Linked DNA regions of Saccharomyces cerevisiae S288C. Changing the gene in region 3 together with the main gene of any one other region gives a genetic interaction. Each region holds a gene or a part of one and is shown on either strand. Other genes may lie near its edges. The genes, in order: CTK2, CAK1 and BUR2.

Region 1 (3,283 bases), on a different chromosome or scaffold from region 3:
TCGAATAGTATTCATATTACTAATATATTATCATGTACGATGTACCAAGATGGCATGAAGATTGAGAAAACAGTCATCAGATTTAATAGATGCTGAAATGCCAGGACTGATAGTGTAACAGAATAATGAATGATATCATATAAATTGGGGAAACAATAATGACAATATTATGTGAAAATATCAATTCTCTTTTGTGGATTACAAGATCCCCTGGAGAACTTCTAGTATGTCCTGTATACCCGGTGCTATATCCTTTAATAACCATGGAATCCGCAAATATTTGATGTAAAGTTTGTTTTTCTTCCCCAACATCCTTTGTATGCTTCAGTAGCTCAGTAGGAAGAGCGTCAGTCTCATAATCTGAAGGTCGAGAGTTCGAACCTCCCCTGGAGCACATTTTCTTTTTTTGTGAATTAAACCTCGAAGCTCAACATTCATGTTTTGAGATAAAAAAAGGTACTTATTACTTGTGTAAAAGAAAGTTTATAATGATGATCTTATTTAAGTTTATAGTAGGACTTTCTATGCATGTCTTGTAGAACTATTTATGCTGGACTCGCCATTAATTAGCTCCAGTGAAAGTACATATCTTCTTTCTTGGACATTATTATCTCTAGTAATAGTGATATAAGGATCGGCATTCAACAGGTGATCTGGTATTTGCGGCAATCCAGATTCTGGTCCTGCGTTTTTTTTCAGTTCCATAAACCTTTCAACGCCAATCGGCAGCAAATCAGCCGGTAAATGACGTTGTAGATCGCACATATCGAATGAATTGATGTAAAAATTGACTATATCAAAATAAGCTTCATTTACGGATTTCTCGTCTGTTTCAAATAAAGAATACCTTTTACTTGACCAATTCTTATTATCTAGTAATTCATATGCTATTTTCAAAATGGCCAATGCAATGGAATGTTGGGGTATGACTAAAATAGTTTCTAGCTTCAAAGCATCATAAGCAATTACCCAAGCCAGATTGCACAACTTATAATCAAAGGATAGCTCCCTACCAATTTTTATAACATATTCATCAATATGAACGTAATTGTTGACTCTATAATCGAATGAGCATGACTCTAATATCCGAAGTTCTATTTGAAATACCCTTTTTTTAAAATTTTCCAAAATGTCCGTATTGATTTTAACCACATTCCTCAATCGTAATGACAAAGTACATATATCATTTGTTTTTTTAATTGTCTCAACTTCTTTACAGCCCAAAGTCAGGCAGCTTGTCGCTACAGTGTAGCAAACCTCGGTCTCGAAGCGATTAAAGAGGTGGTATCTTTGGTAAAAGTATACTGCTGTTTCTAAAGTCTTCCGTGGAAATTTCAGCTGAACACACAAGTCACTTAGAAATTTGAACACGGCAAGTTTTTTCTGGTTGTAATTTCGATAGTCCGATATTGTATTCTTTTGGGCTCTTTGAATTTGCCTTTTAGACAGAAACGGTCTCGAAAAAAAAAGCTGGGATTCAAACGTGCTAGGCATATCAAAGTACGTAATTTTCTTAGTTTTGCTGGCTCTATATCTCCTCTCGCTCTATAGATACAGATATATATATATATATATATATATCTATGTGTATAAAGACGGCTTTCAGGACAGTACTTGTTTGGATTTTTGATCATCGCGGATTTTCGCAATGCAAGTATAAAGAGAGCATTACCCGCCACACAGTGATTCTTCAGCAAGTTGTACCGAAAAGGACCATTTAGGTACGTGGGATCGCAAAGGTTCCCAAACGGTGTGCATCAAGCCGTAGACTTCATGAGTGCTTTCGGTGCAGCAAAAAGATAAGGACAAAAAATACTGAAGGATGCGAGGTTCGAACTCGCGCGGACAACCGTCCAACAGATCTTAAGTCTGCCGCCTTAGACCACTCGGCCAACCCTCCATCTTATTTAAAAATCCTAGGAAATAGATGTTATATAAGTCATACATCATTGAAAACATCAAATACCGTTCCCTGCGTTGTTCTACAGAAAAGCGCATTAGAGTAGGTCATACCCTTTAAAAAATGATTTTGTAAATGCCAGAAAGTAAACAAATATGCATTTCGCCTAGCTCCCAATGTAAATAGCCATAAAAAAGGATAAAATGCCAGATTTAGAGTCAGTTCTCGTTCTTCTTCTTCTCTGTGTTCAATTGTTCAATTGCATTGTTAATCACTGAAATTCTATGTTTCAAATTGGAATGGCAGACTGAACTGAGACCTTCCTTACTTTCTCCTCTATCAAACCTAAATATTCAATCATAACCTTATTTTTTCACTTCCTTTTTCTTACTTTTTTTTTTTTTTTTTTTTTGTATTTTGGAAGGAAAGCAGGGGGGACTTACCATAAGAAAAGCGACTCTAAAAAAGTGTATTTTCTTCCAAAGTTCAGTAAAGACAGCTGGGAAGTATAGTAACAGAGGAGAGAAAGCATAAGGAGACCTCTTGCTGCAGTTCACAACCAAAAATAGCATATCTTTACTATTGTCGCTAACCATTGCGAAACGAGCTAAAGCAACAGCAAACGAAATCCCTAGGTCGAAATGTCATCAAAACCTGATACTGGTTCGGAAATTTCTGGCCCTCAGCGACAGGAAGAACAAGAACAACAGATAGAGCAGAGCTCACCTACGGAAGCAAACGATAGAAGCATTCATGATGAGGTACCAAAAGTCAAGAAGCGTCACGAACAAAATAGTGGTCACAAATCAAGAAGGAATAGCGCATATAGTTATTACAGCCCACGGTCGCTTTCTATGACCAAAAGCAGGGAGAGTATCACTCCAAATGGTATGGATGATGTAAGTATTTCGAACGTGGAACATCCAAGGCCGACAGAACCGAAAATCAAAAGGGGTCCATATTTACTGAAGAAAACATTGAGCAGTCTTTCAATGACGAGCGCGAATAGTACTCATGATGATAATAAAGACCACGGTTACGCTTTGAATTCATCCAAGACGCACAACTACACATCTACTCATAACCATCATGACGGTCATCATGATCATCATCATGTTCAGTTTTTTCCCAATAGGAAGCCATCATTAGCGGAAACCCTATTCAAAAGGTTTTCAGGGTCAAACAGTCACGATGGCAATAAGTCAGGAAAGGAAAGTAAAGTTGCTAACCTTTCCCTTTCAACGGTAAATCCTGCACCTGCTAATAGGAAACCTTCTAAAGACTCCACTTTATCTAATCACTTGGCTGATAACGTGCCAAGCACTTTACGAAGGAAAGTGTCCTCATTGGTACGTGGTTCTTCCGTCCATGATATAAATAATG
Region 2 (3,463 bases), on a different chromosome or scaffold from region 3:
AATGGGGGGTGGATTTCGCCTTGACTGCTTCGCAAAAGGCTATTGGCGCTCCAGCGGGTCTTTCTATCTCGCTATGCAGTAGCAGATTCATGGATTATGCACTCAACGACAGCAAAAATGGTCATGTACATGGGTATTTTTCCTCGTTGAGAAGATGGACACCAATAATGGAAAATTATGAGGCTGGTAAAGGAGCTTATTTTGCAACCCCACCCGTACAACTAATTAATAGCCTTGATGTAGCCTTGAAAGAAATTCTCGAAGAGGGGTTGCATAAGAGATGGGATTTGCACCGTGAAATGAGTGATTGGTTTAAAGACAGTTTGGTTAATGGCTTGCAATTGACATCCGTCAGTAGGTATCCTTCTAACATGTCTGCGCACGGGTTGACAGCCGTATACGTAGCAGATCCTCCTGATGTCATTGCTTTTTTAAAGTCACACGGTGTAGTCATTGCCGGAGGTATTCACAAGGACATCGGACCCAAGTATATCCGTATTGGACATATGGGTGTGACCGCTTGCAACAAGAATTTACCGTACATGAAGAACTGCTTCGACTTAATAAAACTAGCTCTTCAGAGGAAAAAGTGATTACCCTCGTACTTTTCATTTCATATATATATATATATATATATATGTACCTATATATTCTTCTTATTATGGCTTTTCTAATTCTTGCAAGATTCTTTGACAGCTCCATCTTTCGTTTGGTGAAAATGAAACCATCCCCAGGATACAATTAATGAACTTCTGCTTGACTTTGACATCCGCAATCTCGTCCAGTCGAGGCATATTCCTCTCAACAATGCTAATCTGTACATCTTTCTCCTGGTCCAGTACATACTTGCCATCGCCATCTGCACCAAACATACCAACAAATGCATCAACCGAGCCGTGTTGCGCAACCTCTTCCCATTTCTGAATGGACGGTATGCCCAACTTTTCGAATATTGAGCAAATCAGTCTGAAATCGCTTCCATCTGAGTTCATGTCGTCGCTGCCGTCATCAATCATGGCCGGAACGTGCCCCATACGGCTTGTTTCTCTCTGGAACCACTGAGAAATAATTATCAACAACGACCACACGTCCACGCCACCATCATAGCATTTTACTCCAAAAAGCACTTCTGGGGCCTTGTAAATTCCTGTGCTTATATCCGTCACCTTGCTATCCATGGGTTCCGCACTTGTTTGTGAGTTATTTGCCATGTCATAAGAGATGCCAAAATCAATTATGTACAACTTTGGGGATACGGTGCTGGTATTGTTTGTTAGCATGATATTTTGCGGTTTGATGTCGCGGTGAATGATCTTGTTCTCATGTAAGAATGCAATCCCTTCAACCATTTGCCGGAAAAAGGACAAAGAATACCGATTGACGTCCAATTGATTAGTATATTTCTGAACGGGGGGGTCCGCAACAATTGGGATACTGGGATTTAGCAAATCGTAATAGGGATTTTTTTTTCTTCTATCTCTTTTATAGTGCATTTGCATGAACTCATAAAGGTTCATCTCTTCAAAGGGAAACAACAACAATAGGTCATTATTATCGGTAGCCTTAGACTCTAGAAGAGGTAAGATGTGCTTACATTTGTTGCCCAGTTTGTTTAATATCGATACTTCGAATTTGGCGTTATGTGGCGGGATATCGAAATCTAGTGCTAGACATTTAATGGCATATGTATCCGACCTATAAATCCTAGCAGTTCTAGTAGATTTGACCAACTGACAGTGTGTAATGTCTATACTATCCAGTTTCATTAAGATGGGCGTGAATTTTGTTGCCTCTCTTCTTCATCTGGCCTCTTTGCTTCTATGAGACTTCTGTCGTTTTCCTTTTTTTAGGATCACAAACTACTTCTATAACTTAAATAGTCAAATCACATTTTCCACTAAGATACATATTTTCTATACAGGGGGTCTTTGCAGTTATATATACTCAGTTATATACCAATCTCTTTGTCAGGAATTTGATTATCACGTTTCAACCATTCTAGTGCTAATGGATGCAAACTATTCACTTTACTAATAACAACCTTATTGTTGTCATTTTCAAAGGCCACTTGTCCATTAACTTTAGCATTGACCACTTCAGAGAACTCTACGTCTTTCTGATAATCTAAATTATCCACAATCTTACCTGATTTCATATGGTATACTTGGTTAGGCCATTTGGCCAAGCCGTCAAAAATATGTGTAGCGTAGACCACTGAGCATCTTCTGGTTTCGGTCTCCCACTTTAAAAACTCCAGAAGTCTTGCTCTGGCAATAACATCGAGATCCACAGTGACCTCATCAAGTAGTAAAACTCTCCAAGGTTTCAAGAGCCCCATGGCTAACTGAACTCTTCTCTTTTGTCCATCACTTAACCTGTGCATTCTCCAACGTACATCGATGTCCAGGATTCTAACCAATCTTTCACCTCTTTCCCTAAAATGATCGAATCCAATACTTTTTAATAGTTCCAAGACGCCGATATCCCTATTAATGATACTCATATGGCACCATTCCGTACCTAGATAAGTGGTCGTTTGGTAGTTCGTCGAATCTTCAACACTTTCATCATCGTCCACTTGATTCATAGATAATGGACTGAATGGATCAAGACCATTGACCAGGATTTTTCCATCAAGGCAAAGATGCTTACCGCTTAGTAATTTCAAAAGGGTGGATTTACCAGCACCATTGGCACCCACAACTAAAGATCTTGTATTCCATGGGATTTGAAGATTGATATCAACAACTGACGGATCGGAGCTTTCTTTGAATTTGTACGTTAGGTTACGCACCTCAATAGCAAATTGGGAAACCATCTTGAGAGTTATCTAATATCTTGATATCTTATGCAGGAGTACTGGTTTTCTCCATACTAAAAATCTCTCTTTCAGAATTTTCGTTTTTTCTTATTTGAGTCATCCTCGAAGAAATTTCCGCAGCGAATTTTAAAGAAGCACTTTATAATAATACCTTACATATGAGTTTGTTTCTATGTCATGGGTATATAAGGTATATTGTATGCTATCTAGTTGGATGCCCCAGTTTCAAAATGTCCCTAATCGGATCCACCCAGATGTGACTAACGTGGTGCAAATTTATATTTATATGTGATAAGTCTTTCAACTTTGTGGAGATCATGTAACGTAGATTGAGTACTAAACTCAACGACCTTGTAGTCCGTAATTGGTACAGGATAGCTACAATCCCGATAAGTAAAGAAATTTTGCTCCACCTGTTATATTTGGAGGGTAAAAAATGGCCAAGTCTTTGGACCAACGCCCTTGTCTTGGATCTGGCGGCGACACCATGATACTTTTCTTCCTTGTAATGCTCGTTCATCTTTGTTTGTTCGCTCAAATAGAAGATAATGGTGCTCATATCGAAGCATCCTGGCTTTCCACATGCTGTATTGAGTAATGCACTATATTTATTAAGACTCACCCGTTTCAAAGCCTTCTTGC
Region 3 (3,605 bases):
TTCAATTTAAAGTTATCCAGTTTTTTTATGTATTAAAACTATACTATATGCAAGATAATGAATACACATTCGAAGCATCATCTGAAATGGATAAATTGACCATAGAATGCTTATGTATCATCGAAAATATTATTGATGCTTGTGACAATCCTGATGAAGTAACTGACTACCAACTACCTAAGGTACTGTTGACTGCTATGGAGGGGAAATTACTTGTTGCTGAAAAAATATCCGAAGATAATGACTGTTCAGAATCTCTGGACGATTATCATCCCCGAACTTACCAATTCAGACATCCCAGAATAATAATAGACAAGATGAAAACAAAATTGAAGCAGAAACTGCGCTTTGACTCACCTAAAGATCCAGAAACAGATGATCATTGGATTGAGTATTGGAAATATTGCTATCAGGATAACATAGGGAACTTGCCGGACATTTTGTCACGTATATATCAAACCTTTACTGATCCCTCCAATTAAACATAACTTGTACTCTATTTTTATATTTTAGGTTTTTTGGCATCTGGGGTTCTTATAGGATCTTTAGCCTTTCTCTTCATACTTTCTTGTTTAGCCTTATCTAGTAAATCTTTAACCCTTGTTTCAATATGATTCAAAAACTCTTCCTTCACCTCACCGGATTTAATCAACTCGTAGTTAAACGGATCAGAGATTTCTGAAACTTCATTTTCCACATCGCCACTTTCGTCAATCACCGAATCAATCATGCTTGAATCAATTTGTAATTTAGCACCTTTATTACTTTTTAAGTTGAAAAAATTCTCTTCCAGTAACTTGTAATCGGTAAAGATATTGGCAAAATTTTCCGGCGTTACTTCGATAGGGAATCTATCCTTGAAGAAGTTTTTCGGATATCTGAAATCTTTGTCTACAAGCTTTTTATACTCTAAACCACAGTATATGAGAGATAGTACAATGAACGTATAACCGTCGCACAATAAAGAAACTGGCTGGGTGACAGCTTGGACCATAAAATTTCTTGATTCTTGAAGAATTTTTGGAAAAGCTTTTTTAAAGTTTTCTGGCAGATTGTGATCCCTGTTGAATCTATAATAGCCACTGAACACTTCTTCAATCAATTCTTTTGGATTACTGATATTTAAGTCAAAGCCAAATAAACATAGTATTTTTTTTTCATTCGTCACTAACTTATCTCTAAATTCCCATTTAAGTTTATCAATATTTGTTCGACTTTTTAAAGACGGTATATTTTGCATCAAAAACTCACAAGTCGCCTTAATATAGGCCTCTATAGGCCTATTATTCTCCATTGTTTTGCAAGCGGTGACCAGAATTCCCTGTGATATATGAATACATTCAGTTATGGCTGTAGGTATTCCATATATGAACCAATACCTGTAAAATAGAATGCATGATGCCGTATAGGTGTGATCAAAAAGATTTAATTTTTTTTTAAGTGTGTAAAAGTACATTAAGCATTTTTCCATATTTTTTTTTATTTCCACTGCTATCGGTCCATTAGTGCCTATCTTTTCAATAATATCTTTGCACTCAAAAACCCACTGGTTTTCTGGTGTTTCTATCAAATCCGGCCATAGGGTCCTTGCGTTAAACCCACTCGATGCTGGTGGTGGTGATGCATTGCTCGTTGGTTTTGGTACAGCTTGAAATTTTTTCACGTCACCACTTGAAGATGTAGCAGACATTATCTTACTGTAATATATTTTAAACGAAAATACTACGGCCTCCTTCAATATGTGTATATAATTACCAATCAAAATAGCTACTTGCTTTCTAACAGAAATAGTGATACTTTTTAATCACTTTTCTTTTTTTACTGAACAGTGAAAAATAGAAGTCACAATGAGACCTAGGTCAAAAAGCCATAATGAATAGGGTTTGCAATAAAAAAGCTTTAAACGATAGGTCTGTTAAAGAGGATAAATAGGTTTATCATGTATCATTTGGTTTTTTGGGATAGGGCTTGGCAAAAACCATAACAGGGGAATGAGATTTTATATATAAATAGACAAGATAGATACTAAAATAGTGACGGATTCTCTCTAAATATTCGAGAAATTTTCAAAATTTTAGGGCAACGAACAGTTTAATTAACATAAAAATCATAGAGCAAAGAAAAAATGGCGGTTGCGATCAAAAAGGAGAAGACGAAATTTGCCCCCGTTAAGGAAGTTTTATCCGAGAAGGATCATGCTAATTATACTAAATTTCAGGATACATCGAAACTAGAATGGTTTTGCAGGACGTCAAATCACAAAAAGTTCAAGTCACATAGTTTATTAAAAGCAGTAAGAAATCCAACGGAAACAAGAATAGAGACACAAACTCTGTATTTTACGGATCTCACCAACGGCAAATGTGGATTAATTCAACTATTATATTCCAGTGTTATGGGCGGTATATACAAAGGTTTTCAGTTAAATTTCAAAATATTTAAAGCCAGCAGTGAGGAAAACTCTGAAGAAGACATTGATATATGGGAAAGCTTTAAAATTGATAATATCAAAGATTTTGATACGTTAAAAGTTGAATCGGACAATGTTACGTTTCACTTCGTACCTTTGGAAAATTCTTCCTCCAGTGGATTTGCTCAATTATTAATTAAGATAGATATTCCGAAGGGAAGTACAAGCTGTTTACTAAAAGATTTGAAGGTTGACATTACCGTAAATTTACAAGAAGGATTCATAATAAACCCGGACGGTTCCAATTATTACCTTGACAAGAGCATCAGCTTGGAAGAGTTAGCAAAAAGAGACTCTTCTAGTACGTCCAGAAAAATGATAAGACATGTTTTTGTTCCTAGAGGTTTTTGCAATGGTACCATCTCATACAAGAAAAACGATAAACCTGTGAAGCTGGACTTGAAGGACACGCCTATGTTGTATCTGGATGCTGTCCAGGGGCTAATACCCAATAAGGCGGCTAGTAAATGGAATTTTCTTTGTTTCAATGGTGAGAAGCGTTCGATGATGTGTATTGAATTCACCACAACAAAAGAATATGGCAGCACTACAGTGACTATATGGGCGGTTAGTGATAAGGACAAAATTTTGGAGGTCGGGTCAAGTGTAAATGATCATGCTGTTAAATTTCCATCTACAAAAGAGGATAAGCAAAATGGTTGGAAATATCCTACATCCATTTCATTTCCGCGTGGTTTTGAAGAATCTAATTTAAGATTAGTCAATAGGTACGATATAATGAGTGAGCTGCCCGCTTTCATTAGGTCTATTGCTGAAAATCTGGCAAACATGAAGCCATTCATTTACCAATTCTGCCAGAAGTCTAAATTCGATGACGATGAAGGAGTTTCCATCATTGAAAGTACATTTATCAATTGAAAAAAATGAAATTTGACTATACATATTTTCATCATTGCAAGAATATTATATCCATTTATAAGTAGGTAGGTGCATAGACGTATATACACATATATTATAGACTAATTGATAAATTTTTTTTTCATCTTCGAAGATAAGGGGTATTCCAGTTGGGCAATGCTATTTCTTGACCAAGATCTTGCTTTTGTTCCGGATGCTTGTAGACGAAAATTCTTATCAATTTGGATGGCTTGTAAGGTAAACCGTGCCCAATTAT

What was found.
Region 1: mutations in BUR2 (region 3) and CTK2 are lethal when combined (synthetic lethality), as found in Saccharomyces cerevisiae (one study listed by BioGRID).
Region 2: mutations in BUR2 (region 3) and CAK1 impair growth when combined (synthetic growth defect), as found in Saccharomyces cerevisiae (one study listed by BioGRID).

Annotation. Positions count from the first base shown.
Region 1 is NC_001142.9:422,616-425,898, forward strand, and holds CTK2 (Ctk2p), read right to left. Parts: upstream 1,495-3,283; coding exon 523-1,494; downstream 1-522. Other genes in the region: YJL007C (uncharacterized protein), read right to left, coding at 83-397; CYR1 (adenylate cyclase), read left to right, coding at 2,542-3,283. UniProt on the Saccharomyces cerevisiae protein: Cyclin subunit of the CTDK-I complex, which hyperphosphorylates the C-terminal heptapeptide repeat domain (CTD) of the largest RNA polymerase II subunit.
Region 2 is NC_001138.5:77,396-80,858, forward strand, and holds CAK1 (cyclin-dependent protein kinase-activating kinase CAK1), read right to left. Parts: upstream 1,767-3,463; coding exon 660-1,766; downstream 1-659. Other genes in the region: AGX1 (alanine--glyoxylate transaminase), read left to right, coding at 1-593; putative ATP-binding cassette family ATPase CAF16, read right to left, coding at 1,949-2,818; GTPase-activating protein GYP8, read right to left, coding at 3,024-3,463.
Region 3 is NC_001144.5:587,439-591,043, reverse strand, and holds BUR2 (Bur2p), read right to left. Parts: upstream 1,691-3,605; coding exon 503-1,690; downstream 1-502. Other genes in the region: ADY4 (Ady4p), read left to right, coding at 1-482; YLR225C (uncharacterized protein), read left to right, coding at 2,126-3,349; UCC1 (Ucc1p), read right to left, coding at 3,471-3,605. UniProt on the Saccharomyces cerevisiae protein: Component of the BUR kinase complex involved in transcription regulation.